4 linked regions of the Caenorhabditis elegans genome follow. The protein of the gene in region 3 purifies or fractionates together with the protein of the main gene of each other region. This does not show direct contact. Each region holds a gene or a part of one and is shown on either strand. Other genes may lie near its edges. The genes, in order: catp-8, scpl-4, slc-25A10 and let-721.

The links.
Region 1: the proteins of slc-25A10 (region 3) and catp-8 fractionate together in Caenorhabditis elegans (co-fractionation; one large-scale study listed by BioGRID). This does not show direct contact.
Region 2: the proteins of slc-25A10 (region 3) and scpl-4 fractionate together in Caenorhabditis elegans (co-fractionation; one large-scale study listed by BioGRID). This does not show direct contact.
Region 4: the proteins of slc-25A10 (region 3) and let-721 fractionate together in Caenorhabditis elegans (co-fractionation; one large-scale study listed by BioGRID). This does not show direct contact.

What each region holds. Positions count from the first base shown.
Region 1 is NC_003282.8:11,472,311-11,482,175, reverse strand, and holds catp-8 (putative manganese-transporting ATPase catp-8), read left to right. Parts: upstream 1-2,924; 5' UTR 2,925-2,943; coding exon 2,944-3,028; intron 3,029-3,086; coding exon 3,087-3,340; intron 3,341-3,388; coding exon 3,389-4,105; intron 4,106-4,587; coding exon 4,588-5,379; intron 5,380-6,081; coding exon 6,082-7,084; intron 7,085-7,427; coding exon 7,428-7,624; intron 7,625-7,668; coding exon 7,669-7,808; intron 7,809-7,923; exon of another isoform or gene 7,924-8,142; coding exon 8,143-8,395; intron 8,396-8,447; coding exon 8,448-8,543; 3' UTR 8,544-8,813; downstream 8,814-9,865. Other genes in the region: nse-4 (Non-structural maintenance of chromosomes element 4), read right to left, coding at 25-106, 154-412, 459-618, 686-959, 1,008-1,214, 1,258-1,323; mbf-1 (HTH cro/C1-type domain-containing protein), read left to right, coding at 2,024-2,335, 2,383-2,541; wht-2 (ABC transporter domain-containing protein), read right to left, coding at 8,865-9,005, 9,052-9,246, 9,293-9,382, 9,620-9,865.
Region 2 is NC_003283.11:10,595,791-10,603,285, reverse strand, and holds scpl-4 (Mitochondrial import inner membrane translocase subunit TIM50), read right to left. Parts: upstream 4,182-7,495; 5' UTR 4,175-4,181; coding exon 4,099-4,174; intron 4,058-4,098; coding exon 3,969-4,057; intron 3,921-3,968; coding exon 3,813-3,920; intron 3,770-3,812; coding exon 3,599-3,769; intron 3,557-3,598; coding exon 3,329-3,556; intron 2,912-3,328; coding exon 2,585-2,911; intron 2,540-2,584; coding exon 2,383-2,539; intron 1,715-2,382; coding exon 1,512-1,714; 3' UTR 1,139-1,511; downstream 1-1,138. Other genes in the region: H27A22.1 (Glutaminyl-peptide cyclotransferase), read right to left, coding at 726-731; T21C9.13 (DUF4149 domain-containing protein), read right to left, coding at 4,857-5,080, 5,126-5,317, 5,364-5,544, 5,596-5,739. UniProt on the Caenorhabditis elegans protein: Essential component of the TIM23 complex, a complex that mediates the translocation of transit peptide-containing proteins across the mitochondrial inner membrane.
Region 3 is NC_003284.9:6,722,159-6,728,175, forward strand, and holds slc-25A10 (Mitochondrial dicarboxylate carrier), read right to left. Parts: upstream 3,511-6,017; 5' UTR 3,503-3,510; coding exon 3,404-3,502; intron 3,359-3,403; coding exon 3,178-3,358; intron 3,108-3,177; coding exon 2,992-3,107; intron 2,947-2,991; coding exon 2,856-2,946; intron 2,389-2,855; coding exon 2,249-2,388; intron 2,138-2,248; coding exon 2,057-2,137; intron 1,999-2,056; coding exon 1,834-1,998; 3' UTR 1,585-1,833; downstream 1-1,584. Other genes in the region: NRAMP-like transporter smf-1, read right to left, coding at 1-46, 94-315, 745-885; K11G12.6 (Lipase maturation factor), read right to left, coding at 3,766-4,033, 4,081-4,422, 4,469-4,681, 5,042-5,147, 5,210-5,426, 5,470-5,648, 5,715-5,814. UniProt on the Caenorhabditis elegans protein: Catalyzes the electroneutral exchange or flux of physiologically important metabolites such as dicarboxylates (malonate, malate, succinate), inorganic sulfur-containing anions, and phosphate, across mitochondrial inner membrane.
Region 4 is NC_003281.10:6,443,090-6,449,664, forward strand, and holds let-721 (Electron transfer flavoprotein-ubiquinone oxidoreductase, mitochondrial), read right to left. Parts: upstream 3,819-6,575; 5' UTR 3,818-3,818; coding exon 3,583-3,817; intron 3,531-3,582; coding exon 2,929-3,530; intron 2,802-2,928; coding exon 2,012-2,801; intron 1,955-2,011; coding exon 1,788-1,954; 3' UTR 1,604-1,787; downstream 1-1,603. Other genes in the region: C05D11.13 (Vicilin-like seed storage protein At2g18540), read right to left, coding at 26-695, 734-882; T26A5.6 (UDENN domain-containing protein), read right to left, coding at 5,241-5,341, 5,536-5,669, 5,718-6,064, 6,121-6,443, 6,490-6,575. UniProt on the Caenorhabditis elegans protein: Accepts electrons from ETF and reduces ubiquinone.

The sequences.
Region 1 (9,865 bases), on a different chromosome or scaffold from region 3:
GACAATTAAATATAAAAACAGTACTCAGAATTGGAACACCGTTTTCTTCTAGCAGGTAAACTTCACGATCGCGCATCAAATACGAGACGTAGAACATATTTTCAACCTGGAAAATGTCCCGTAAAATAGTTATTTAACCAAAAATGAGCTTACCGTTCTAGAGAAACTAGTCGGATTTGTGATGAGTTCGTAATAGTCGATTTGATCCGTCTTCCGAGTTTTAAGCTCTTTTTTCAGAACTTTCAGAACATGTTGAAGCTCTTTTGAGATTGAAACCTCTTCACTTTGAACGTTTCTCGCCTTATCGCTTACTTTGACAAGTGCTGCGGGTTCTTTTCTCTTCGCACCTCTCTCAACCTTCTCGCGGATCTTTTTCTGTTTCTCAACACGTTCAACATCAACTAGTTGGACACTGAAATAAAAATAAAAATATAAATTACAGAAACATTCCAACGAACATGAAATCGCAACCAATATTAAATGGATAAACTGCAGGCTGAATGAATTTTTTATAATGAGGAGGACCATCATCGTCTTTTTTCGAGCTGCTCGCAAAAACCAGCTCAGGAGTCAGACGGTGGAATAGGGCAAGGCGTGAAGCAAATCTATGGTTTTCCGCTGAAGCAAACATATAAAGTTATGTTTAATTTTAAATCAATTTGAACTAAAAATTTAGTTTCCTTACAGAGTCGGGCGTCTTTGTACATATCGTCGTACATTTCATTGATCTCATCCATATTATCATCGACAATCCATTCATCGCACCAGTTACTTTTATCCACTGTATGAGCTTTCACAGAAGTCTCGATTTGTTTCAGAGCATCTCCAATTTTATTTCCAGCATCAACCGGGTCAATTACAGCACCTCCATTTATTTCGAGAAGAGTCTCACGCGTCGTTTGACCGACAAGTTCTAGTAATTCAGTGTCCGTTGAATAGAGAGCGGTGTTTAGAGCTTTCTGAACAAAAAATACAATTACTAGAGGTTTTCAAAAGTTATGACCTACTTTTAGCGGTTTCGATTGTTCTCTCAAACTCGTAACAGCAGATTCCAGTTTTTTAATTTTAGAATCGACAGTTTCAGATTTCCGAATATGGGCGAGCTCGCTTATCTGTTTCTTTAGCTCTTCGGCAACGGCATGATTCTCTCTGCATTGCACCGTTGCACTTTTCTCCTCTCGGTTCCGAAGTTGCTCGATTTTGTCCGCTGTAACCTGAAATAATGTTACTTTTTCAGATCGCATCATCTTTGCTAACCGGCTGTCTACATAAATTGTCCGCAACCATCTTTGAACTCATGCGGCGAGGATCGATACCATCCATTTTATCCCTGAAAACAACACTTGATTTTATTGCTATATTGGAATAGAGTTTTCTGGTTTTCATGAGTAGATTATTTACGATTACTCCTGAGAATGTAATTTGATAAAGCTTTAAAAACGTTCTGAATAGAAAAATATCAAGGAGAAGGGTTCAAGAGAGTGAAAATGTTGCAAAATACAAACAAATTGCAAACAAAAAAACATGATTTTGAAATTCGCTCCGCAATTGCGCGTCACAGTGTTTGCACACAAACCTCATGGCTCCGTGGAACTTTCTCGAAAAATAAACGATTCTCTTTTTGTTTTTGGACTGAAATTTTACGTATTTTCTGAGTGTTTTCTTTTTTCTTGAAATTTGAATAATTTTTATGACAATTGTTCATACAGAGAGCAATTACGTGTTCAATCGTCGATTGAAAAGAGTTCTTCCTTCCGTCTGTCAAGTTTTAAATGTTTTTTGAAATGGCACAAATAAAACGTTTTTTCGTAGTCCATGATTATATATTCTGCCACTAGTAAGAATGAAATCGTTTCATTGTTATTAGTGTCAGAATTTAAAAAAAAACTGAAAATATCGTTGAACATTAATTTATTTGCTTCCTCCGGGATCATATTGTGCAATATTTCATCGTTTCTGACATACTATAAATACAATAACTTCCTTTCAGAACAAGTCTCCAACAAACTTCCATCTTATCAAAATGTCCAAGTATGGCTGCCCAACCTCTGACACTGATCCAAACTCGGTCACAATGATTACGAAGCGAGGACCAGTGAACAAGACATTGAAATCGGCTGCTCAATTGAATGCTGCTCAGCGTGCTGGAGTTGATATTTCGACCGAAAAGAAGACGATGTCTGGTGGCAATCGCCAGCACAGCGCCAACAAGAACACTCTGCGGCTTGATGAAGAAACGGAGGAGCTTCATCACCAGAAAGTTGCTCTGTCCCTCGGAAAAGTCATGCAGCAGGCTCGTGCCACGAAAGGTTGGACGCAGAAAGATCTTTCAACGGTTAGTTAATTTTAAAATGAGATCTTTAATTGAACATTTTATTTCAGCAAATTAATGAGAAGCCGCAAGTAGTCGGCGAATACGAAAGCGGAAAGGCTGTCCCAAATCAACAGATCATGGCAAAAATGGAGCGTGCGCTTGGAGTCAAGTTGCGCGGCAAAGATATCGGAATGCCATTTTCAACAAAGCCACCAGCGAAGAAGTGATGAACTAATAATGTTACATCGAATAGGTCCAACTCCTGGTGTCCCCACTTTCCCGTCTATTTCTCTCATTCTCCAGCCCCGAAATTCTCTTACCGATCCCCGCGTCTCCTGTTTTCTTGGGTATCTCTTTCCGTCTGGCCTCTCTTACCCGTACCTTATCATGGTTTTTGTTCAACATTATTGCTCTTTTTGTTATATTTTTGTATTTATGCTAAATTTATTTTCTTTCTGTACAGAAACGACGCAGGAGAATCTGAAATAAACGTATCATTTTAAATCCATGACTGTGACATGATTCAACTCTCCCAACGTTTCCATATCGTTTACAATTATACTTTAATTCAAATTCGCATTGTTTCTAAATACAAAAATCGATTTTGCAGGGTCCTGTAGCCCGGAAAGATGGGTGTCGACCAACTAGTCGAGACTATTATACCATACAATTTAAGGTCTATAGCAACTCATTTATATGTTCCTCCTTTTACAAGTGAGTCAAAGAATAAGTTAATGAGATGGAATTTTTAAAAATAAATATAATCTTTCAGTAATCACTGCAATCTGGACATATGTCTGGCTCAATATTTTCGGCTATGAAGAATATTATGAACTTGGAATGTTGGGATATGCAGCAATTTTTGTGATTCTTGCACTAGTTCTTCTTTTCTGTCATTGGATGATGCCTGTTCGATGTTTCCTCATGTGTTCAAAGCAAGAAGATGTTCGTATTGCTTCTCATGTGTGTGTTATCCCTACACAAAATAACGGATGGCCGGAATTAGTTAAACTTATGAGAACAACGGTTAGTCACAACTATTTAGAAACATTTTCTTCAAATGAATTATTTCAGCGTGATAAACAAACAAAGTTATGGTTCGAATTTCAAAGAGTTCACTATACTTGGGATGAAGAGAGCAGAGAATTTCAGACGAAAACTCTTGATACTGCGAAACCAATGGTTTTCTTTCAAAAATCACACGGATTCGAAGTTGAAGAGCATGTTAAAGATGCTAAATATCTTCTCGGAGACAACAAAACTGAAATGATTGTTCCACAATTCTTGGAAATGTTCATTGAAAGAGCTACAGCTCCATTCTTCGTCTTTCAAGTGTTCTGTGTTGGATTGTGGTGTCTGGAAGATATGTGGTATTATTCACTTTTTACACTTTTCATGCTTATGACATTCGAAGCAACACTCGTCAAACAGCAAATGAAGAATATGTCTGAAATCCGGAATATGGGAAATAAAACGTATATGATTAACGTGCTCCGTGGCAAGAAATGGCAAAAAATCAAGATTGAAGAGTTAGTGGCCGGAGATATCGTTTCAATTGGAAGAGGTGCTGAAGAAGAATGTGTTCCATGTGATCTTCTGCTTCTACGTGGACCCTGTATCGTTGATGAATCGATGTTAACTGGAGAAAGTGTTCCACAAATGAAAGAACCAATTGAGGATGTTGAAAAAGATAAGATCTTTGATATTGAAACAGACAGCAGATTACACGTTATCTTCGGAGGAACCAAGATTGTTCAGCACACAGCACCAGGAAAAGCTGCAGAGGGAATGGTAAGATTTTGAAAATACAACGTTTTTAGAGTCACCAAAAATGTATTTTATATTTCTTTAATTTTTGGACATTAGATATATTATTCCCAAATTGGTTAAAAATACCGACTTTCGTGATCATACATTGTGAAAATTTCTTTTAAAAAGTTATGGCGGTTCAAATTTTTGAGAAAAAAACTTATTTTCAGTTAAATCTGATATATTTTTTTTCAATTTTTCAGCGTCGCAAATTAATTTTTTAAAAATTATCACTCTGTTGACTAAAAAGGCATTTCAATCAACGAAACAACGCGTGATAAATTGCCAAAATACTTCCTTCCGCGACTTGTACACAAAATTTGAGATTTTCGCTGGAAGTAATTTTTTTTCATCAAATCTTTGAACCAGGCCATTTTGAACCTAATGAAGCCTGTGACCAAATTTCTGTACTCCATCGTTAAGAAAATGAGAAAAAGGCATATTCTCAGCTAAATAATTTGCAGGTAAAATCACCGGATGGAAACTGCATCTGTTATGTAATTCGAACTGGATTCAACACTTCTCAAGGAAAACTCCTCCGTACTATCATGTTCGGAGTCAAGAAAGCAACTGCTAACAATTTGGAAACCTTCTGTTTCATTCTTTTCCTTCTTATTTTCGCAATTGCCGCTGCTGCATATCTTTGGATCAAAGGATCAGTTGACGAGACTCGGAGTAAATACAAATTGTTCCTTGAATGTACACTTATTCTCACTTCTGTTATCCCACCGGAGCTTCCAATCGAATTATCACTTGCTGTCAACTCATCATTGATGGCTCTTCAAAAATTGGGAATTTTTTGTACAGAACCATTCCGAATTCCATTTGCCGGAAAAGTCGATATCTGTTGTTTTGACAAAACAGGAACATTGACAACTGACAATTTGGTTGTTGAAGGAGTTGCATTGAATAATCAAAAAGAAGGAATGATCCGAAACGCAGAAGATCTTCCACATGAAAGTCTTCAAGTTCTAGCATCTTGTCACAGTCTCGTTCGATTCGAAGAAGATCTCGTTGGAGATCCATTGGAAAAAGCATGTCTTTCATGGTGTGGTTGGAATTTAACAAAAGGAGATGCTGTAATGCCGCCTAAAACAGCAGCCAAGGGTATTTCTGGAATTAAAATCTTCCATCGTTATCACTTTTCATCGGCAATGAAGAGAATGACAGTTGTTGCTGGATATCAATCACCTGGAACTTCTGATACGACATTCATTGTAGCTGTCAAAGGTGCTCCAGAAGTGCTCAGAAATATGGTAAGAATTTTATATTTTGTCTCGACAGGACAAATCTTTGTCTCAAAAAAAAAATTGTCTGACTTATCATAAAATGGAAAGCCAACATTTTTGATTTTCCAGAAAACCATAAGAAACATATAATTTTCTCATTAAAAAAAAAATGAAAAATGGCCAAAATTTTGAGCTAATTTTTGAAAAATCGAATGTTTGTTATCGAAAAATTGGAGAAACAGAAAATCAAAAATTTTGGTTTTTTAATTCTTAATAATAAAAAACGAACAATTTATATTTTTTCGATTTTCCGGAGAAAATTATCCATACAATTCAATTTTTATCCTATTTTTATTTATGTTGACGAAAAATGAGAAAAAAACATGAGAAAACACAATTTGTTTCATAAAATAAGAAAAATAACCAAGATGGTAAGCTATTTTTGGAAAGTCAACAGAACGAAGAACGAAAATGTTCGATTTTTAAAAAAAAATCATCGTTGTTGAATTTGTATCGATTATTTCTCAAATTTTGTTCAAATTTATCTGTTTTTATAGCTTTATTTTAGTTATTATCATTTTTATTAGAAAACTATTAAAATCGATGAAAATTCCAAAGCAATGCGTTTTAAATTACAGTTTAAAGGCGCGTACTAATTTGCATTTAGTATAGATTTATAGAAAACTTTCACATCTGCGTAATAGTCATTTTCTAAATTTCTATTTACAGTACGCCGACCTTCCATCTGATTACGACGAAACGTATACTCGTCTGACTCGTCAAGGATCTCGTGTTCTTGCTATGGGAATACGTAAACTTGGAGAAACTCGAGTTGGAGAACTTCGCGATAAGAAACGAGAGAATTTCGAAAATGATCTCGCATTTGCTGGATTTGTCGTCATATCGTGCCCACTGAAGAGTGATACTAAAACAATGATTCGTGAAATTATGGATAGTTCTCATGTAGTTGCAATGATTACTGGAGATAACCCATTAACAGCTTGTCATGTATCAAAAGTTCTTAAATTCACCAAAAAGTCATTGCCGACTTTAGTTCTTGATGAACCTGCCGATGGAGTTGACTGGATGTGGAAATCTGTTGATGGAACTATCGAATTGCCGTTGAAACCAGAAACAAAAAATAAAATGGAGAGAAAAGCGTTCTTCAATTCTCACGAATTCTGTCTGACCGGTTCAGCTTTCCATCACTTGGTGCACAATGAGCACACTTTCCTACGAGAGCTTATTCTACATGTTAAAGTATTCGCAAGAATGGCTCCAAAACAAAAAGAACGAATTATCAACGAGTTAAAATCATTAGGAAAAGTTACTCTTATGTGTGGAGATGGTACAAATGATGTCGGAGCTTTGAAGCATGCTAACGTTGGAGTTGCTCTTCTAACAAACCCTTATGATGCAGAGAAGGCCGCTGAAAAAGAAAAAGAGAAAAAAGCAAAAATCGAAGAAGCTCGTTCACTCGTTCGCTCAGGAGCTCAATTACCACAACGACCAGGTGCCCCAGGAGCACCTCCAGCGGCTAACGCAGCTCGTCGTGATGCTCCTCCTGGAGCCCGCGCGAGAGCTCCCCTACCACCAATGGCTAATGCTGCTCAAGCCCGACTAGATAATCTAATGAAAGAGTTGGAAGAAGAGGAAAAAGCTCAAGTGATCAAGTTGGGTGATGCCTCAATTGCTGCGCCATTCACCAGTAAATATACATCGATTGCATCCAGTGAGTTTTTCAAACAATTTTACCCAGATTTTTGCGCTAAAACTACAGAACCTATGGTCTCGACATGACAACTTTTAAAATACAAACGGGCGCGCGCCTTTAAAAAGTACTGTAGATTCAAAACTCTTGTTGTTGTAGAGTTTTTTAATGAATAATTTTTTAACGAAAAACTATGAAAACTCCGCAGCAAAAAATGTTTAAAACTACAGTACTCCTCAAAGGCGCACACGTTTTTACATTTGCCAAAAATTTGTCGTATCGAGACCGGGTACCGTATTTATTACTTTTAGTGCAAAATGTTGTGCCTCTGTATAATATCATTCACTTCTCAATTTTTTTTCAGTTTGTCACGTCATCAAACAAGGTCGTTGTACTCTTGTTACAACTCTTCAAATGTTCAAAATTCTCGCTCTCAATGCTCTTGTTTCTGCTTATTCACTTTCTGCACTTTATCTGGATGGCGTTAAATTCAGTGATACCCAGGCAACTATTCAAGGACTTCTTCTTGCAGCATGCTTCTTGTTCATTTCAAAATCAAAGGTTTTTTATCTAGCTTATTGTTAATTTTTATGTTAAAATTCCAGCCTCTGAAAACATTATCTCGTCAACGACCAATGGCGAATATTTTCAATGCCTATACTCTTCTGACTGTCACTCTTCAGTTTATTGTACACTTCTCTTGTCTCCTTTACATTGTCGGACTCGCACATGAAGCCAATACAGAGTAAGTTTTAAAGAAAACCTGAAAATGTGCAGAAAATTGTATTTTGCTGTCCAGCCCTAAACCATATTCTTTATAAACGCGAGTTGTATCTCTCCGGCGGCATTGCCGTGTGGTCGAATGGTTAACGTGTGCGCTTGTCGCCCGTTAGTCGCTGGTTCGTGCCCGCGCTGTAGAGTTTATGGCGGATAGGAACCAGGTCATGTTTGTACGTGATTTGGGCCGACATCCCCGCCGAAATAGTCCTGCGAAGATCTAAGGTCGCTTCTGGATGGATTTGCCACCGGGTGCACACCATCTTCGTGCACAATTTTGAATATTCAACTTTTTTTTTCAGAAAAGCTCCTGTCGATTTGGAAGCAAAATTCACGCCAAATATTTTGAACACTACGGTTTATATAATTTCAATGGCTCTTCAAGTTTGCACATTTGCTGTCAACTACAGAGGACGACCGTTCATGGAATCTTTATTCGAGAATAAGGCCATGCTTTACAGTATTATGTTCTCAGGAGGAGCAGTTTTCACTCTTGCCAGTGGACAAGCTACGGATCTCATGATTCAATTTGAACTAGTTGTTCTACCAGAAGCTGTAAGTTTTATCCTATAAATAGTGTTCCTTATTCATACTTCTCTCATTTCAGCTACGAAATGCGTTGCTAATGTGTGTCACAGCGGATCTTGTTATCTGTTATATCATCGATCGTGGTCTGAATTTCCTGCTGGGAGATATGTTCTAAATTACTCGTTTTTCTTATTATCCTTCTTCCTTGACATTCCCTATCAACATCTTTTTTCTGCCATCCTGTTGTTTAATTTATTTTTTCGGTTTTATCTTCACTTAGAACCAAAGCTATCGCATGATCTAAGATCAGAAATAGTCATTTCATTGTCGCTGTTTCAGAGCATAATGTTTCTGTGATATATACATTTCTGTTGAAATCTTGCAGATTCATTTACAATGTATTTATTTGAGTCTTTTTTTAGTAATAAAATTATCATCATCATTCAAACATTCAACAAATTTGTAACGAGTATAAAATTTACATCAGAAATTGTTTCTATCGAGCTTTGCTGACTCGCAAAGCTAATCCAGCGTAACCAATAGTGTAGAAGATCAAAATGAATGCAGACATGATGAAGAGATCCGGATAAAACATTTCAGCGCGGAATGACAATTGGGAGAGTACGGAATCACGTTTCTGAAAAATTAAATTAAAATTAACAGCATTTCAAACTGTTTCTAACCTCATCAGTCCAAATAGTTGTATTCTGTTCATTGACACTGCTCCACTGATTGATTGCAAAAGCCTCAAATCCATATCTGAACCACGAGAGATACTGTATCCACGAGATGTATGATGGTAGTGCACCAACATTAGCGTAAAGACCTCCAGTCAATGATAGAAGTGTGAGCATTGGGCCAGCAGTTGACATTGCGATCTGAAAATTCTATGATTTATGAAGTTAATTGAAGTTTTTTACAAACCGGTAAAGACGGCGAAATGCAAGAAATCATGATTCCACAAGCTGAAGAAGATTGCTCAATGAGGAAGGCGATGAGGCATGCGTATAGAACCTGGAATTCCAATTTTTCAAAAATATTATGGAGACGCAGAATAATGCGTATTTCGAAGTTTGGTCCCATTAGGTATTTGGCGGCAAATCCATGGATTCGAAAGTGTTTTGTATTGTTTTGCCGCCAATTAAAAACGCATTTTTCTGGGTCCCCATAATACAGTATTCTCAATATTATGAAAGGAAAATATGACATCTCTGAACTTCAAGTTTTGACTTTTTTTCCTTCAAAAATTACCTGTGTAATAGAACTCGAGAATCCGACCATCCAATATGATACAAGAAGCATAATAAGTCCATCGGCAGTAAATAGTGGAAGATATGAGAGACATCGAGCCACATAATATGAGAAAACAGAATAAAGACCATCGTGATATTCTCTGGAGACTAATGGAAAGTCGGCTGGCAAAAAGTTCAAAATTCCGAAAATTGTAGAGTAGGTGAGTTCACAAACGAGATAAAATAGAGCTCCGTTCAAGTTTGA
Region 2 (7,495 bases), on a different chromosome or scaffold from region 3:
GTTAGCAAAATTGGAGATTTTAATTAAGTCATTTTTGAAACAAGCGAAAAACTTAGAACCGATACTTTATCTTCAAATGTACCTATATTTATGAAAAAGTAACGTTAAAAAAAGAAGTCAATAGAATCTACGTACCAGTCATGATCACTGTTGAATATTCGCTCTTTTTCTCTGCACCATGAATAATGCAAGTACATGGAAAAAAATGCGACTCGATTCTTGATGGTATAATAAAAACTAGCCAACTGTGTAGGAGCGGACAAAAAGACCAGTATCATCCCAATGGACACAGATGCAACTTTAGACGAGACAAATTTCAGGGTAAATTGTCAGATTGGACAATTTTGGACACAATACGTCATATCTATGTTGTAGGTAGTAAGATGATAGGACTTTTAAGAAACGCTTTTCTAATATTGGAATTATTTTTTAATGTTAGGAGTTCATGCTAGATTTATATCTGCCTAACTTTTAATTACAGTTGTAAATTTGAAGAAAAAAAAGAGAAAGTGTATCATTAAACGATAAATCGTACTTTCACTATGTTCTATCACAAAAAGGAAACTCCTGCAGATTTCTTCATTATCACTCGAGAAAGATCCGCCCATTTCTATCATAATCTTTCTGCGTCTTCTATCTTTAAACCTTTCCACCATCTACAATTATTTTCAGAAATCGGAGAGAAAGATTAGTGTAGTATTTATTTACCAGTAGTTTATTCTTACCTTCATAATTGTCCCTCTGTAATCCTTCTCTTGTAGATGACGTCACCAACTGTATTATCTGCGTCTCTCCTCCTCCTATGTTCTCTCTTCTGAAGACCCGTTGCTAAAACGAATGAATTGCTCAATATGGAAAATATATATTTTATGACGTGGAAATAGTCAAACAATTGTAATCGACCAAATGTTTGATTTGACTTTAGAGAGTAACAAAAGAAGAGACGCAGTGAATGAAAGCTTTCAAAATTTGGAACGATCATATACTGCGTCTCTTGTCTTGTGGATGCTTCTGATGCCCTTTTGATGGCAACATCGACCCAGATAATCGAAATGAAATGAAAAGAGAAAAATAAAAAGTGAATGTGATAAAGCTTTCTCGCGATTTTTCAACGCGCGTTTATCAAATGAGAAGAACACAATTTTTCTGAATGTTTTATCGGATTTTATGGTGAGAATTTCAAAAACAAAAGGAAAAATGAAACGAACACTTCTGAAAAAAATTGATACGTTTTTTTGGAAAGGGTGGAATAAGAAACAACAAAAATCAACAAAGAAGTGTGTAGACGGAGAATTCAACTGTCATATACCGGCTCTGAACAACTCTAGTGTGGGAAGAACTAAATTTAAAAAAACACAAGAATGGAAAGAACTAAAAAAGAAAACAATATAAACCTACAATCCTATATTATTAGAAAAATTGAGCTATAAAAAGGCACATTGAGAGTGAAAAGGGCGCAGGGAAAAGAGAGTCAGAGTATCATATCATCAGATGAAAAATGTTTGGAAAGTTTAGGCATTAACGTGTCTTCTAGATCCGAACAATCTTCCAGAATATCTTTTCAACATGGAACTATCATCGGGTTGTTGTTTCTTTTGTTCTTCTTGTTGTGACAAGTATACAGCTCGTCGACGGAATTCTTTCGCTGGATCATCGTATTGCGAGTAGTACTGTAGCATGGGACGAACATCTTCAGCGTCAGATAGGTGAATAGCTGAATTAATAAAATACAAAATGTTCCAATAACGGGATCGATAATGATCATGTTTTTTGCCAAAATTATAAGATTTTATGTTATAATTTTAAAAATGATGTAATTAAATATCGAAGTCAGATCTGTTGGTTTTTCGTTTAATGCGTTTTTTTTTGGTTTTTTCGGGAAAAAGGAAAAATTTGCGAAAATTTTGTTAATCTATCGCAAACTGAAAATCGTATGATAATGTTCAAATTTAACACCTTTTTTTTCAAAAGAAAAATTACACTGGAAATTAGAACTATTGAAAATTTCAATAAAATATCTGAGTTTTTCAAATTAACGTTCAAAACGTATTTTACGGGAACACAGAATTCTGAGAATGCGTATTGCGCAACATATTTGACGCCCAAAATATCTCGTAGCGAAAACTTCTTTAGATGACTACTGTAGCGCTAGTGTCGATTTACGGCATTTCGAAAATCGAGCCCGTAAATCGACACAAGCGCTACAGTAGTCATTCAAAGGATTACTGTAGTTTTCGCTACGAGATAATATGTGCGTGAAATATGTTGCGCAATACGCATTCTCAGAATATTGTAATAAAACAAATTTTTTTTTGCTTTTTTCGTGCTTTTGGCAAAAAAAATTAAAATTGAAGCAAATCATTCATATTCAAAACAACTTACTTTTAAGAAGCTCTGCCAAATCAACTAGACTTGTATCATCCATATTTCCTTTCCACTCTGGTACTCTTAACATGTTTTCTGGATTTAATTGTCCTGATTTAGCGTCAAAATCGATATAAATAACTTTCGACAAATCGCGATTCAATTTCGACAAATCCTGGAAAAAAAGTTTAACTAATTAAGAGAAATCGTAATTTTTTACTTTGACATGGTGTCCATTCATATACTTTGTGCAATCTCTGAACAACTTGTACATAATTCTTTGTTTTGGATCAAAACTATCAACAACTGGAGCAGCTGTCATCATTGATTCAGATGAATAGATAACGACTTCAAAATTTGGATATCCAATGACATCGAGGAAATAGTCAAGTGCTGGACGCTTTAGGAAACGATATCCAGTTTTGTATGTCCATTCAGGATGCACAAGAATATTTTTCAATTCGATCACAATTGTATATTTTGGTTGGAGATATGGTGCTGGCAATGGATCAGGCAACAATTGCTCACGTGCTGGCTCGACGACATACTGAAAATAAAAATATTAAAATACAGTACTGCCGGAAAAAGTCGCGATTCCGACTTTTTTTTTTGAGCAGAAATTACAAATCATTCTGATAATGGTACTAATTTTTAATCATTCTTTTTATATTAAGCTATTTTTTGTAAAATTATTCATTTCAAAAATTGGTCAAGAAAAAGTGCAATGGATGAGATTAACTAAATCTATTTTGAAACTTATCAAATTTTGCATGTGTTACTGATTATGGATTTATAAAATTGTTGGTCTATTTGATGTTTTAAGAAATATTATTATTGGTATATGAATAAATTAGATACTTTCAGAAAATATCAGCAATAGCTGTAGAAAAAAGGTATTCTGGCATTTTGTGTTCAACAATGTTATACATTTCTTTTTTGAATCTTTAAAAGATTGAATTCTCACATCTCTCCATAATTTAAAACTGTTGGCAATGCGGTAGAACGGTGCCAAGAAAGAACCACTGAATTCATCAGATATCACATTTCCGAATTCATCTCGTTGTGCACGTCCATAGTAGAAACAGAACGAAATAAATCCGATAATAGATCCACCAAACAGAACATATGCTCCAATGCGAGTATTTCTTTCCATTCGTTTCCGGCGAGCTTCGATTTCTTCAGCGTTACCAGGCTTAAAAACCACACTTAAAACAGTTATGAATATAAGACTTACGTCACTGTTATCACTAGAACCTCCAGAAGAAGAGGAAGACTTTGATGCAGCAGATTCCAATTTTTCAAGAGAATCTTTCAGTGAGTTCAACTCGTCAATGGCTGAAGACGTGGGGGCAGGAGCAGGAGGCGGGGAGCTCAGCACCTTTTCAGCTTCTATTTTTGGACTTTCCTACAAATTTCAAAATTTATCAAATAAAACAAATTATGCGTACAACTTCGAGTTTCTCTACTTTTGGGGCTTCTTCGACTTCTGATTTGAATGCGATTGCTTCTTGGGTCTCATTTATCGGCAATTTGATACTAGCAAAAACATTTCCGTGCTGAAAACTGTATAATTATAAATTATCTATACTGATTCAAGTCAATACGTTTATTGGCACAATTGGAGCAAAACGAGTGCGTCCATTGTCTGCATAAGGGTTTGCAACAGCCGGTGGGCCCAGAAGAGATTTAAAATCTGAAATTTTTGTATAATGAGAAATATTGGTGGAATCTTACCTGAACTATAAAGTCTTATAAATGTTTTCGCTTGGTGTCGGCTGAAGCAGGTCTGAGTCAACTTGCTCAGCGACATTTTTACCCTGAAATTTTTTGGGATTGGTAGAATCTAGAAATGCGTACTATGATGCAATAATTAGGTTAAAAAAAAGTATGAGAAAACGTAGAAATTTTGATACAAGACCTAATTATTATCTTTGCAAGAAATTTAAAATGAATTGAACATTGTAATAGAATTAAGAAAATAAAACAGGAAAAATCACGTCTTGAACGAACCCTTACGATTTACGATAAACAACACGCGAATCGTAAACCGGAGTGTCGTTGCAAACTTTCATGAAAAATTTTGTTATAATTTTTATAATTTTAACAAAAATGTCTGTATCTTGTTATAAATTTATACTTATAAGAATACGCTTGTTTATTTAATACTTTTTTTCACGAAAATAGTATGCACTAAAGATGTGTTCAAAGAAGTTCCCTATTATTAGCGCTATATCGCTATAAATGTCGAGATGTCAAAGAGCGTGACTGAATTTATTAAATTATATAGATAATCCTGTTAATAAATCAAGCAAGTACAAGTTATTCTTGAAATAAATGAATAGTCGATTTTAAATCGAAATCACAATAGGCTTTGGATATGAATTCAACGTTAGGAGAATATATTATAGGACCGAGCTTATCAACAATCATTGGAGCAATAGAATAAGTTATGAATAGGGATAATATGCTATTAAGGATGAATTAATAATCTCTTATACTATATCTACGGTTTCACATGAAGCATTCTTGTTTGGTGCCATCCGAGTTGAATGAATAGTCGAATAGTGATTCGGCATTGTTGCATCGTATACGCGGAAGCCAGGAACAAGGACGGGACGTGACTCAACCAACTTCAAATGGATTGCGTAGAAATAGACAATATCGTGTAAAACTGCGCAGAATAGTAGAAGGCCGAGCATATTCAACGAGATGTCCACTGAAAAATGTTTTCTCAAATAAAATTCTGGTTCGCTCAACTCACTGATGTTTATCCGTGCATCAACTAGCTGCTTCACTTTGAGCATAAAAAGTACGAGAGTTCCGTTTGTGGCCATGACTGCAAGGAAAATGTAGAGTGGCATGAAGAGACGGCGGTAGAGAAATACTCCGGAAAACAGTATAGCGAGAAGTATCAGCCATTGCACAATCACGACACGAGTCAGAAAAGCTTCATCTGGAAACAAAAATGTATTTTTAAAAAATTTTCAGAAAAAACTCACCAAAAATATTGTTTTTCTTCCTTGGGGTATAGTTTCCATACTGAAAAACGAAAGATCCTGCATAGTATCCAATAGTCAGAATTGCAGCAAATGCATAAAGAAGAACTACTCGTGGCGAGTGTTCAATCCATTCCATCTCTAAACCATCAATGACATCTCGCTTCATAAATACTGTTAGCGGCTGAAAATTTTAATTAGTTTTAATTATTTTTTAAAGCATTTTTCAACTTACCTTTTCAGAACTAACAACAGATTTGCACGGGGGAATATAAAAATAGCTGTGCTCCGCATTCGGTACTGAGTATTTCTTAGAAGCAGGAGTAGCGAATATTGTGTGATTAGTAGGGATTGAAGAAATAAAAGAGGATGACGACATTCCTACTGAAGTGATCGAAGATCAACTGAGGAAATATCGACTGATGAGCATTCAAAACTATCGGGTTCATCATTATGTTCGAATTCGCGGGGTTAAAAAAAGAAGAGCAACAAATGATCTACACACACGCACAAGTCTAAAAACAGGAAAAAATCGAAATTATGATCTAAAAGTTTGAAATATTTATTATTTATACTCTTTCAATATCTAAATATTATTTACACAGAGAACAGAAAATAAAAAAGTTCTTGAAACAATTTCTAAAGCTTCTACAGTAAGAATGAAGGCGCATAGCATTCTTCGTTTAAAAATATATTTCGCGCGGCGAGGCCCACTTGCATAATTGGACCTCCCTTTAAAAAAGTTTGAAATTCACATTAAAAAAGGCCTTTAAAGGCAACGTTAACGCGATATTTACAATGATCATTGTAAAAAGTAGAATAAAAATCGTTACGGTCGTCGTTAGATATTTGACGTGTTTTCCAAAGTTCATAGTTAATTTATTCTATTTAGATCCCTTGGACTTGTATCAACTTAATTTATTCTATCTCAAATTGTGAAAAAATGTTGATTTTATAAATGTCAAAAACATTTGAAGATTTTTACAACTAAAAACATCGCATACAATTTTTGTAATCCCAAGGGTCTCTATCTCCTAGCAACGAATTTCTGACTCCATCTTCCTGACTTCTTTTTGTTTTCAATTCAATTGGCATACAAATAAATCCTATGATTATACATAACCTACACTCTTTCGCCTGAAATCCATTTCTGGTCGAAAGTGGTCATTTTTCTTTCTAAATTGGTATGAGAATGATTTTCTGTCCAATAAAATTTCCACATTCATTCATTCCTGTTCCGTGTCCTATTCTATCTTCCTATTGCTCCCCTCATATAATTTTTTCAATGGCATGTAGTCACGATAAGCATAGTTTTACCAAGTTTATAAACAAACTAAAATGTACACCTTCACATGAAATTTGAACATTTTCATTCAAGTGGCATGATTAGAAAAAATATGTACCAAATTTTTTTAATGACGAAACTTATGATACTGCTCAAATTAAGATTTAGAAGATAAACTAAATTGTTAATCAAATTGTTTCAGTTTAAACTGTTCTACCAACCATTATAAATTAGACTGAACTCATTTGCACAAAACACTTTTCCAGATTTCTAATTATAGTTTTCCACATTTCACTCTGCTGACGTGGCATTTCCATTTCAAATTCACACTCAGAAAACTTGAGCAATTTTCAGGAAATTGGCGGAGTGCCGTCTGATTTATAGCCTTTTTTTTTGTTCGTTGCTTTCATTTTCATCCTTTTCTCTCATTGCTTTCTTTGCCAGATATTCTCGTATCCAATTGAAGGAATAACGAGGAAGCTGTGAAGTCAAGAGAAGTAGTGTATATGTGTCTTCTTGTGACGTGGCTTCTAGTGAAAGCATAGATTCAGAGAAATATAGAGTTCATTGCTCATAAATTTTTATAGTTGGAAGGCCTGTTAGAGAGTGCGCCATGCCCATCGTCCAGTCGTTTTTCCATATTTGTTTTACTAACTTGGTAATTTAGATTTGATTTTCTAACATCAACAAATTTATTCAGAATGAGAAAATATTCATCCAACATTGTTTTTGAAGTGCTTCGAATATCGCTTAGTATTGATTCCAAAAAGCTTTCTGAAAGAGTTCTCCAGAACTTTAAAGTATCATCTTGAGTGAACCTAATTTGTTATTTTTGCTGCTTACTGTGAAG
Region 3 (6,017 bases):
GCCAGAGAATGATGCGAGGAAGTCTTGGGTAAAATTGGTAGGCAACCTTAAGCACATAATATTTAAATTTACTCAATGTAACTTAGATATTACCTCTGCCATATGTTTTCCACTGACAACTCCAAGTCTTGCAGACATTCGTTGGAGCAACATTCCGATAATATGAGCTGAGAGCAAAACCCACAAAAGTTTGTAAGCCGCTTGTGCGCCAGACTGAAGGTCGCTTTCAATGTTTCCTGGGTCCAAATAGGCAATACTCATGAGAAATCCGGGCCCTGTGAACGCCCATAATTTTTTGAAGGAGAACGCTTTTTCCTGAAAAAAAATTGGTTATAGGAAATTAACATTAATAATTGATATAAAAAACTTTTTATCAATAAGAACTGAAACCAAACATTTCGAAAATCAAAACTCCAAATTTGTAATAATTTCACCATAAAGGAGACATAACTTAAACGAACAGTGGGCGGTAATCGGAAGCTCTAATTAATTCAAACAGTGGGTGATTGTCGAATTCAATAAATTTGACAAATGACAAGCGTTTATTTTGGGAAAAAAAACAACAAGAAAACGAGCGAAAAATGAATTTGAACTGCTTTTTTGTTAAAAATAGAAGAAATACAAATGTTCTTCCGGCAATCTTCACATCTTAAAAAATAATTCGCAACTGGCACTTTTGGTAACTTTCAAGAAAAAATCGACGCCACCTACTCATTAAAAATAATTTAATCTTGGGTCACTTACCACATCATCAACTGGAATATCAACTCTCTCCTGACTCTCTGCATCTTCTTCCAAAAGATCTTGCTCGAGATGATCGTTTTGTGTTATTCGCCACGGTTCAGCCTCAGGCTCAATGGGACCATCGTTATTAGACGATGCCATACCGGAGCCAAGAAACTTGTCACCTGAAATAGTCATTTGAATTATGAATGAATTGTGTATCAGTAACCACGCTGAGTTGAAAACAAAATCGAAGCCTAAGATGATAAGGATTATCAAAAAAACGTGAAACAAGAAATCAATGCATCTCTGGTTATGCAGAAACACGATAGAGGCAGGGATGACGTAGACTATAAAGAAAAAATGTGAAACACCGCATTATGGGAAACGATTCAACAATGAACACAATGAAAGAAAACTATCAGAAATCAAAAAGTGTTGCTCATCTATTTGTCATAATCGAATTCATTTCAACCACATGATATTCTTTTCGCGCATTTAATTTTTGTTCAGTTCTTCCTTTTCTTCTACTTGTGTGAACAACAATGAACAAAACTAAAAGACGTTAAACTATAAAAGTGTTGGTTACCGCTCTCAGATGTGAAATGTTTTATTGGCAGGAATGGGGAGGAATAGGAAAAAACGCTGTGGAAAAAAACGCTGTCCTATACACAGGTGTGCGCGTTTTGCAAAAAAAAAAGGGTTATCGAGCTGACAGAACGTAAACAGTTTACTCATATCCTGAATAGCAAACAGTATTTTTTGGAAAGAGTTTGTGTTTGATAGTTATGAAATTTTTCCATGGGATAACATTTAGTTTGAATTCACACATTCGTTAGAAAAGAAATTTTCAAAGTAAAACAAAATACAATTCGGTGTTTATTGACTAGTGTTGTTCAGAAATGCAAATGGTTATTACAGCAATGGCAAGGGAATAGATCAAAAATACAAAACACATTAAAATATATAAATTGTATAAAGAGAACACGGGAGGATCAGATCTTCCTAATACAAAAGTTCAAACATTTTGATTCAAATAATTGAAATCTCTACACAAAAGTATTCTACATATAAAATATAATGGAAACATCTAATTTTTTCGGGAAACATTTAAGCTTTTACTGGTGGAGCATATCCAAATTTCAATCGGAGCTGCTCGAAAAAGATGAATGTAAGAACGGTGTGTGGGGCAAGACGAGCCCAAGCCGGAATGAATCCCTTAAAGAAGCCCATTGGACCGAGCTTGGCGGTGAACATGAAGCAGTCGAGAATTCCCTGCAAAAAAAAAAATAAAGTAGACTTTGGTAGGCGTTTTTTATGATGCCGATAATACCTTAAACTCGCCAGGGGCGGCGTTCATCATTCTGGTCTTCATCACGTCCAATGGTTGAGTCATGACAGTAGCCACACTAGCCTAGAAAAAATATGAATGAATTGTGTATTTGGTGCTGATCTAGGTATTTGTGTGTGGTACTGATGTTGGGCAATAACACTGGGAAAAGTTGTTGATTTTACCCATACTTACCGCACTGATCGAACTGGCAAAGTGAGTTTGTAGGTTGTCCTCGGCAACTCCAGAAGAGATAAGAGTCTGCTTAATTTGATCATAGAATGACAACTGACCAATGGTCATGAGAATAGCACGAGATGTCGCCATAGTAGCTCCTGAAATTTTGAATTCAAATATATAATGGAGACAGCCAAAAAAAAATTAAAAGTAGTTAGTCGGAATTTCAAGAATAAGACTGAGTGCAAGACTAATCATTAAAAGAATTTCGAGGTACATTAATGATAGAGGGTGCAAGTTTGATATGGATGACTTACTAATAGAGTAAATACAGTAAGTTTCAAATTGTTCAGGTTAATTAGAAATTAAAAATACGATAGGTTCTATTTTAAAACCTGTATACTGCATTTTCACATTCATTCATTTTGTCAAGTTATAATTTGGTTGATTTTAAAAAAATCAATAAATTTAGTATTATGAAACAATAGATAAAGGAACAAAAATATTTTGTCAGTTGACAATTTTTATATAGGAAGACCGACAACTGAGATACTAGCACTAATAGAATGAATGCGGTACTTTTGTTCTCAAGCTTCTTATTTTAAAAAACTTTATAACGGCTTACCATTGAACATCTTCATGAATCCCTCTTCTCTAGTAATCCTCACCAATCCGTCCAAAGCGTGTTTGTAGTTTCTGCGCTGTTCTAGGGGAAGCTGGAACACTTATTATTTTTTAAACGTTAATTGTTTGAGATTCACCTTAGAATCGTTCTGCATTCTAACGTTAACCAAATCTCCAGGTGTTCCAACCATTCCACCGCATGCTCCAGCAAAACCGGCGAGAAGCGCCTTTTGGTAGAAGGGCAATGGTTGATCTGGAAAATGATTTTTTTTTCTTAAATATTGATTCTGTGATCAAAACATTGAAAGGGCACAATATCCAACCTTGGGGGAGTTGCTTCTTTACAGTTTCATAAATTCCAAATCTAGTAGTCGAATAAGTGAGCTGACGGAGAACCGATGCAGATACTCCGTTGTAGAACGCAAGGATTCCGTCGTTCTTGTAGATTTTAAGTGAAAGTTGGCCAATCGTCAGTTTTCCTTGTTGCTGAGTTTGAAGTTGAACCTGAAAATTTTGGATTTTTGCGAAAGTGAGTCATGTGTTTAAAACCTTCAAGAGATCAAGGGGGTGAGTGCAGCAAGCGGCCATGGCTCCAGCCACTCCTCCAAAATACCATCGTCCAAGTCGTTTGGTTTTGTCTTCGGCCATTATAAAACCTGTTTTGTAAGTTATTAATATTATTATATTAATTAAAATTTTAAAAAAGCAATGAATATATAAAATGTGAATCGAACACATGCAAATTTCAAAAAAAAAAACAAATGTTTTTAAAAAATTGAAAATAATTTATAAACCAGTAAACAGGGGAAGAAAAAGAGATGTCAATGAATTTTAATGCTTCGATGATGGCGAAATCAACAATTAAAGCTAAACAAAAAAAATCGAGTATCTAATAAGAAGTGGTTAGGTGTCTATTCATTCCGACGATGTGCCGAAAAGAAGTAGCTATACATTTTTCTGAAAAACACCAGCACAACCATTGTGGAGATCAAGGCGATCTCGTCGATCCCGGCTGTAAGACGGTGGCACTGTTTCAGATACTTTCCAAGAGGACCGTTAACGAATTCACTTTTCCTTTTGTTAATGATTTTGTGCTCGGTGAGATAGTTGAGAAGAGCGTCATTTCCTTTGTTAAAGGTCGGCATGTACTCTTCTTGGAAGCTGCGGGTCCACCAGTTTCTAAAAAAATAGTTTTGGAGTTATATAAGTTCAAATAAAACACAAACTTGTCTCCGATATCAGTGAAGTGGTACATGTAGAGCTTGGCACGCGCAAATCTCATCGGCTCTGATCGATTTTTGAATGGATAATCTTCAATCAAATTTACAACTTCCGTTGTGTTCTGCATAAGATGATAGACAAGTGACAGAAAGAACGGATTTTGCTGATATGTTCCTTCGGCAGCATAGTACATTTGCATATCAAGACGCGGATGGTGAGGAGAAATAAATCTTGGACGCTTTGACACCTTCCCTGGTTTCGAGGTGAACTCGATTTCTCTCCAAGGTCCTTCAATATGATGAGATCCTTCAATCACAATTTCTGGTCTTCCGTGTGTTCCGGTCATTCTGGAGTTTTCAAAAATTAATTAATTTCAAAAAAGTGAAATCTCACTGTCTGTAGGATCCATAAGAGTTTGCTACGCTCCAGCTATTCACAGTCTTGTACATGGTCATCACAACTGGCGGCTCGTATGTTCGCTGAGCAAGTTTCTCGTCCATTCTTAGCAATGGAATATTTCCATAGACACCGAGAAAAAGGACGGAGCACAAGACAAATGCCAAGTGCACCCATTTCTTCATTCTACCATTTTGACTCGAACCAACTCTGAAAAAAAAATTAAGATGTCAAAGGCAGCGTAGCGCCAGTGCGTAAATTGTTAGAAACCTTATGATGCGAAATGATGCGAAATGATGCGAAAATGTCCAAATATCATAATAATTTTTTTCAAAATGTATTTTTAAATTTGTTTTATCTAATTATATTTCAACTGTGAATGTTCAAACATTGCAGGGATTCAAATATGCGACAGTGCTATTGAAAAACCATAAGTTCATGAGACATAAAAATAATAATTTGGAGTTTCACTATGACATCCGATGATTTTCGCATTTTCAATTTGGTCATTTTGGTCATCTTGGCATTGCTTCCCCATTGGGGCTACCCCACCTATAGGCTAAAACTTACTTTAACATCGAATAACAATTGACGATTGTAAAAATTATTGCCATAGTTGCAACAATGACATCAATATAGTATATCATGAATTTACGGAAAGATTCGTGCGTGAGAGCTGAAAAAAAAATTATCATAAAAATCAGTCCACAAACTTAGAAAAAAAGTTTCAAAACTCACTGAGTGCAAAGCTGGGCAAACGATCGTCTTCAAACAAAATTTTGTACGGCAACCGATAGACAACCTCAAATCCGATTTTCGCGAAAACTATCGCGGCAAGGAATGAAGCACCAATTGGAACTCTGGGTGTTTGCAACAAGCTGACCATCAATACAAGAATATTGTAATTGAAGAAACCATTGTTGCCGGTGAAAAGTGTGAGTGTCGTGAGAAGAACCTGAACTTTGTGGTTAAATTGTATCATTGTCATCATCACTCACCTGACAGAAGAAAACAAAGTACCGAACGTGGATCAATGGGATCAAGAAGAGTGGCGGAAGAAGAATTTCAATAAAATTCATTTGCAACGTTGCCAACTGTTTGAAGAATTGCGGGAAATAATGAGCATACCATGCAAACGGAGTCGGCAGTGGTTGGGATTCAAAGTGATAGTTTAGAGCTGAAATGTAAAAAACAAGGTTTGATAAAACTGTCTGAGAAAATTAGAGTTTTTCTTGTAAATTACCTGTAAGATTCCACCATGTAGGGCATTTGCTCAACAACTTTGTTGCTCCATTCATAAACACAACACGAAGTAGAAGAGAGACTATTCCAAATAGAGCAATCTGTAATATAAATTTCTAATGAGTTTTTGAAAAAAATCAACTTTTTAAAGGCGGAGCTCATAAAATCATGATTTTATGGCCTAAAAAACTGAACTCCTTAATGAAACTCCTCAAACCAGGAAAAAAATTTATGACGATAGAAAGTTTCGGAAAAAAACAGTCAAAGTTTAGCGCTAAATTCTCACGTTTCTAAAACCTTTGAG
Region 4 (6,575 bases), on a different chromosome or scaffold from region 3:
TATTAAAAAAATTTTCAATTAATTTTTATAGACCCGAAAGAGTTCCATCGCTCAATGATCCCGTGATGACTGCAAGTGATTCTTCACTTTGCCCTGCTTGCTTCAAAATTCGATTTTGACGTTTTCGTGCAGCATCTTGGATTTTCCTAGCTGATTTTTGCTCTGAAGTCTCCGTCTGCAAATATTGCCGTCTTCTTGCTGCATCACGCTGTCGCCGATTTTCAGCTTCCTCTGGTGTTTCATTCTTAATAGCATCCCGACGTCTCTGAGCATTCTTGGCTCTACGCAATTCAGCTTCTTCTGGAGTTTCAGCCAGGAGACTCTTCCTTCTCCGTTCCGCATCCTTATTCCTTCTTTCCTGAGCTTTTTCGAATGACTCCCTTTGCAGATACTGGCGTCGATGCTCTGCAGCCTTTATTCTTCGATTATTTGCCTGATCTTCCGACTCTTGCATTCTTTCCATTTTTTTTCTTTCAGCTTGCCTTTTCAATCGTTCTCTATATTCTTCTTCTGTCTCTTCTGAGCATCTCTTCCTTTTATAGTCTGCAGCCTTGGCAAGACGTGTGTGAGTCTCCTCTGATGTTTCACGAGCTCTTCTCAGACGTTTCCGATGTGCTTCTTTGGAGAGTCTGCATTCTCTAGATCCTTCTTGAGGTTCGGATGAACTTGGAATATCCGTAATATGAGGTCTGAAACTTAAAAAAAATTTTAATATGCTATTTACTACTCTTACTCATCACTTGAACCAGGTAAAAATGTTGCTATAAAATTCTGAATTGTTTCTTCTAGGCCAGCATTTTGTGGACTTTCAGATTTATTCCCATTACTCTTCTCATCTTCTTCTTCGTCTTCGACAATATTTTTGCAATCTTTTCTACTCATTCTGAACTTACAAATATACATTAATTTTTCAGAAAACTTGAAAATCTACATTACTAAATACACAGACAGAGGTTTTGCGACTCCTGCGCCAAGAATACGGTGCCGATTCTCGACACGACATGTTTTAGTTAAATGAGAAAAACTTGTGCGCCTTCAAGGAGTACTGTAATTTTTTAATCTAGTTGGTGTGGAACCGTTCATGATTTTTCATACTTTTCTTACGTTCTGTTAAAATTCGTGTTTTTTTTTGAGTTTTCAATAGTTAAGGATGTTTTTCATCGGAATACGATGGAAAATCGATGAACATTCCGCAACTACAAAAGTTTGTAATTAAAGTACTCTCCAAAGGTGTGCACCGTTTTGAAATTATCACATTAAAAAAAATATCATGTCGAGACTGGGTACCGTTTTTGGCGCAAAAATCTCAAAATTACGCGTCGGAGTAATAAGAAAAATATAAATAAGGCTCAAAGAAAACAGGAGAATCGATGACGGCTTTCTGTGTGTCTGTGTGTCTTCATATCTTCATTGTCGGTGTTTCTGTGTGTATGTCTGTCCAGAGACAAACATACACGAGCGCAGACGTCTTGTTTGATTATCTGCGTCTCTTCTTCTATACAACACTTTGCAATCTTTTCAGAAAAGGATACTGTAGTGGGATGAATGTATATATGTACCACAATTATGGCAATATTGAAGCTTTTCCGTTCAAGTACACACTAATCAGAAATCTATTCATTTGGTTTGGATAAAAATGTAATGGCATTACAAAAGATGGGGAACACGAAAATGAGAGAAAATTGAGAGAAACCGTTGAAGAACAGAAATACATAATCTACGAGTCGATAGTGGCGAATAAATAAGTACAAAAATTATACACAAACATAAACGAGAAGCTAAAGGATTCACATTCCCTCGTATTTTGGGCCACCACCTCCTTCTGGTGTAACCCAGTTAATGTTTTGTTGAGGATCCTTGATGTCGCATGTCTTGCAGTGAATGCAATTTTGAGCATTGATTTGGAGACGCTTCTTTGATTCATCAGCTTCGGATGGGACGAATTCATAGACTCCTGGAAAAAAAAGTTATTTATGTGTTTTTAAAAGTCAAATTTGTATTAAAATCTCACCAGCTGGACAGAATCTAGCCTCCGGGCCACCATATACTGCCAAATTCACATCAAGTGGAACTTGATCATTTTTCAATGTCAAATGAGCAGGTTGATCTTCTGTATGGTTGGTTCCAGTAAGAGATACAGATGTAAGAAGATCAAAAGTTAGCTTTCCATCTGGTTTTGGGTAATCGATTTCTTTTGCATCCTTCACTGGAATGAGCTTCTCATTATCCTTCTTTCCGTGTCCAAGAGTCCATGGTTCAATTCCTCGACCGAAAACATAGAATATTCCAGAATAGATCAGTCCTCCAATGTATCCCAATGAAGTATTGAATGATGGACGAATATTTCTGGTTGCTTTGAGCTCTTTAACAACATAAGTATCACGAATATTCTTGTCATATGTAGCTGGATCAATCGTTTGCACATCCTCTCCCTTTTGTTGAATATCCTCGAAAATTGATTCAGCAGCCACCATTCCACTTTTCATTGCATTATGAGTTCCCTTCAGTTTAGCGACATTCAAGAAACCAGCTGAGCATCCAACAAGACATCCTCCGGGGAAATGAAGCTTCGGGATACTTTGGAATCCTCCTTCATTGAGAGCTCGTGCTCCGTACCCAATTCGTTTTCCTCCTTCCAATTGTTTAGAAATCGATGGATGAGTTTTGTATTTTTGGAATTCTTTGTATGGATTGAGATTTGGATTCGCGTAATCAAGAGCAACAACGAAACCAACGGAAACAAGTGGTTGTCCTTGATCCTCGATATGGTACAAGAAGGATCCTCCGTATTGATCAACATTCTGAAAAATCATTTTTTAGAGATTAAATTCTAGAATATATCTTTTAATCTGAAACACTCAAAAAAAAAGCTCACATTTTACTAGATTTTTCAATTTTTCTTAATTTTTTAGATCTTCAGAAACTTACCAATGGCCATCCCATAGTATGCTCAACATAACCAGGTCTATGCTTTGCTGGATCAATTTCCCAAAGTTCTTTGAGTCCAATTCCATAAGTCATTGCATGTGTTCTCAAATCAAATTTATCGAGAACTTGCTTGCTCAAATGTCCTCTACATCCTTCAGCGAAAATTGTGCATTTCGCGTGGAATTCCATACCACGAGCAAATCCATCTTTCGGTGCTCCATCCTTTCCAATTCCAACGTCACTTGTGGCAATTCCCTTCACACTTCCATCTTCATTGTAGAGCACTTCAGATGCAGCGATTTCTGGCCAAACTTCGACTCCAGCTGCTTCAGCCTGCTCGCCGAGCCATTGAACGACCTTTCCAAGACGAACAATATAGTTTCCGTGATTTGCAAGTGGAACTCCAGGTAGCACTGGAACTGGAATTCGACCAGATTCAGTGAGAATAGCGATAGATTCAGAGGTAACTTGTTGGTAAACTGGAGCTCCCAGCTCTTTCCAATTTGGAATAAGTTCATCAAGAGCTCGAGTTTCAATTACAGCTCCTGAGAGAGTGTGCCCTCCAATAACAGATGCCTTTTCGACAACACAGACACGAAGTTCTGAAATTAAAAAAAATATGTTTACTCTAAAATGTATTTGTTTAGATTTTACCTTTCTGAGCTTTTTCAGCCAATTGTCTCAATCGAATGGCTGCTGATAAACCAGATGGACCTCCTCCAACAATGACAACATCATAAACATCACTTTCTCGTGCCAAATCAACATCCTTCCACCGTGGATCAGTGGATCGATCCTTTACAGTATAGTGAGTAGTCGTCCATTGTCCGTTGACGACGTTGCGAAGTTGTGATGAGACGCGGAATAATGTGACTCCACTTATCCGCATTCTGAAGTCACAGAAATTGAGAAATGAGAAAGAAATCGATAATTGAAGAAATAATTGTTGCATTTTAATTTTAAAAAATTACGTGAATTTTCAATGAAAAATGTATTTGCTTTTTTCGCAAAATATATGCATTCTGGTTACTGTTAAATACAAAAAGGTGTGCGTCTTTAAAGAATACTATAATTTCAAATTTTCTGTGGAATTTTACTCTATTTTTCATAGATTTTCGAAAATAATAATAATAATTAATAATTAATAAATAAGCTTATTTACAGAAGACTCAAATATATCCGTTGATATAAATACTTAAATTTTAGTAATTCTGGAAAAAAAACAATGATAAACCGGTAGAATTTATGTAGCAACCTATTTATGTTTGAAACTACAGTACTCATTAAAGACGCACGCCTTTTCTCATTTAGCAAAATTTTGTCGCGTCGAGACCGGTGACTGTATCTTTGGGCGCATAAAATTGAAAAAAGAAACAACTAAAAATATATTTAGACACGATGGGAAAAAACAAATCGATTGACCAACTGCAGACAAAACAAACAAGTCAACAACCAGCCAAGCCAGCCACAATAAATGGGTGATTTACTATCAAAGATACATTTTTCGAATTATTTTTGGGGTCACAAAATTGTAGTTCTAAATATTTTAGCTAAAATTTATAACTTTCTTCTACGTATTCCTCAAATGAAAACAAAATACATAATTGTTGTGATTTTCGGAAAAGAAAAGCAAAAAATCAGGGTAAAGTGTATCTTTGCGTACGTGTAGAGGAAAGGAGAGATAAGAGGAGTAGACAAAAGGGCAAAGTACAACGAACATGTGTCTCCCACGAGGGACAAAAAGAGGAGAGACTACAAATCTGAACGTCTACAGTGCAAAGGTAGCTTAGTGACGTCACAGGAAAACAAAGTTTGTAGGGGGTTCCTGGGAAGTTTGAAAAGTTTGTTGAATTTTAACATTATCAATTGTAAATTGTGCTTTTAAAATGTGAATAAGAAAACTGGAAAAAATATTATCCGAGTTTTTGAAAAAAAAGTTTTCTCTTCAACTAAATATTAAACGTTATTTGTTTGCCTCTTCAACTTGTCTACGTATTTAAAATCAAAACATTAATGGTCACAGATCATAAATCACAATTCTATCATTAGAAGAAAGTAATATATAAAAGGATGTTCATCTTCACCCGTATATTAAACCAATTTTTGAGTTTAAACAAATGCATAGTTATATTGATTACATGAAAAACAAACTGATTAGACTTACATAAACCGGATGAAAACGATTCGATCATTAAGAGATCAAATTGAATGGAACACAAACAAAACAAAGGAAATATGACAGAAATTCTAATTACAATAAAAAACTTTAAAAGATGATAAAATGCCCATTATACATATTTGACTTTAATAAATCACTCAGATGGCTCCTCTGCCTCTTCAACACCTTCTTGTGCGGTTGCTTTTCGATTCCACCAGTTTGAGAATTTTGCTTTGACTCGACTACCGGTTTCTCCTGAAAACACGATCGAGTTAATCACTTTAGTATTAAAAATATTTTTTTCGTTTTGGCAAAATGTCAGTTTTGTAAATTTTGAACATTTTGAATAATTCAAAGCAATGAAAGCTATGCCCTCAATTTTTTACTGCTACTTCATTTCTCGAAATTTTTTAGATGCTATATTAATTTCCAAACCCGAAAAAAATTACCAATGGTATTTCCTAAATTCTTTCCGGCAGTATTTACAGTTCCAATAACTTTTGAAGCTCCTTCAACTCCATTTACGGCATGTTCAAAACGAAGATACACGTCATAGACTCCCATTTGTTCCGAGAACATGTGCCTGAAATATTCAGATTGAAAAATGTATTCATGTTCTGAAATTCCTCACCCTGGCGCAACAGATGTTAAATCTTCATGTTTGTTTGCAACCCAAATTTTGTGATTTTTAGTTCTCCGCCATTCGTTTACAAAAGCGATTCCAAAATGAGGTATCGCTGCTTGTAGATCGGAACGTGACGTGGCAACGAGGCCAAGAAGATAGTTTTTCATTTGTAAACGAATCCATTCATCTGATCCATCGAATTCAGCATTTGAGGATTTAACCTGTTCTTCGACTTTTTTGAGAATAAAATCAGCGAATCGAAGATCTGCAGTAGTTAGAGAAACTACTCGTTCCAATGCTGTGTCGTTGACAAATTCAATGTGATTATGGACAAGAGAACCGTCGTCTTCGATCTGAAATTACTCAAGTTTAGTTAGAAACCTGAAAATTGTTAATTTAAAATACAAACCTTCACAATAACATCAAATAAATCCTTTTTCATCGCAAATAAGGCATTCGTAGCTCCAAATATACAACTCTGAGTCTTCGGGACTAAATCCATTGATTGAATTGATAGATATGGATCAAATGATGATCCTTGTGTGAATAAGCTTATAGGAAATCCACACGAATCCTTTTCTTTCAATGGATCATCATGTGAAAGCTGAACACCAACCTCCTCTTCTATCACTATTTCTTCGCTTTTTCCTTCAGTTTTTGAATTTACATTTTTGAAATGACAACTCGTATTGACCCCGATTGTTGCGTAGAACAGACCTTCTTCCAAAAGCTCTGAAATTCAAAATTAAACGATTTTAAAATGTCTGTATATTCTTACTTGGAAACATTGAAACAATAGCCAGCATAGTTTCTCCTAATCGTAATCCAGTTGGTGCAATGAATAAAACTTTCCGCTCTAATAGG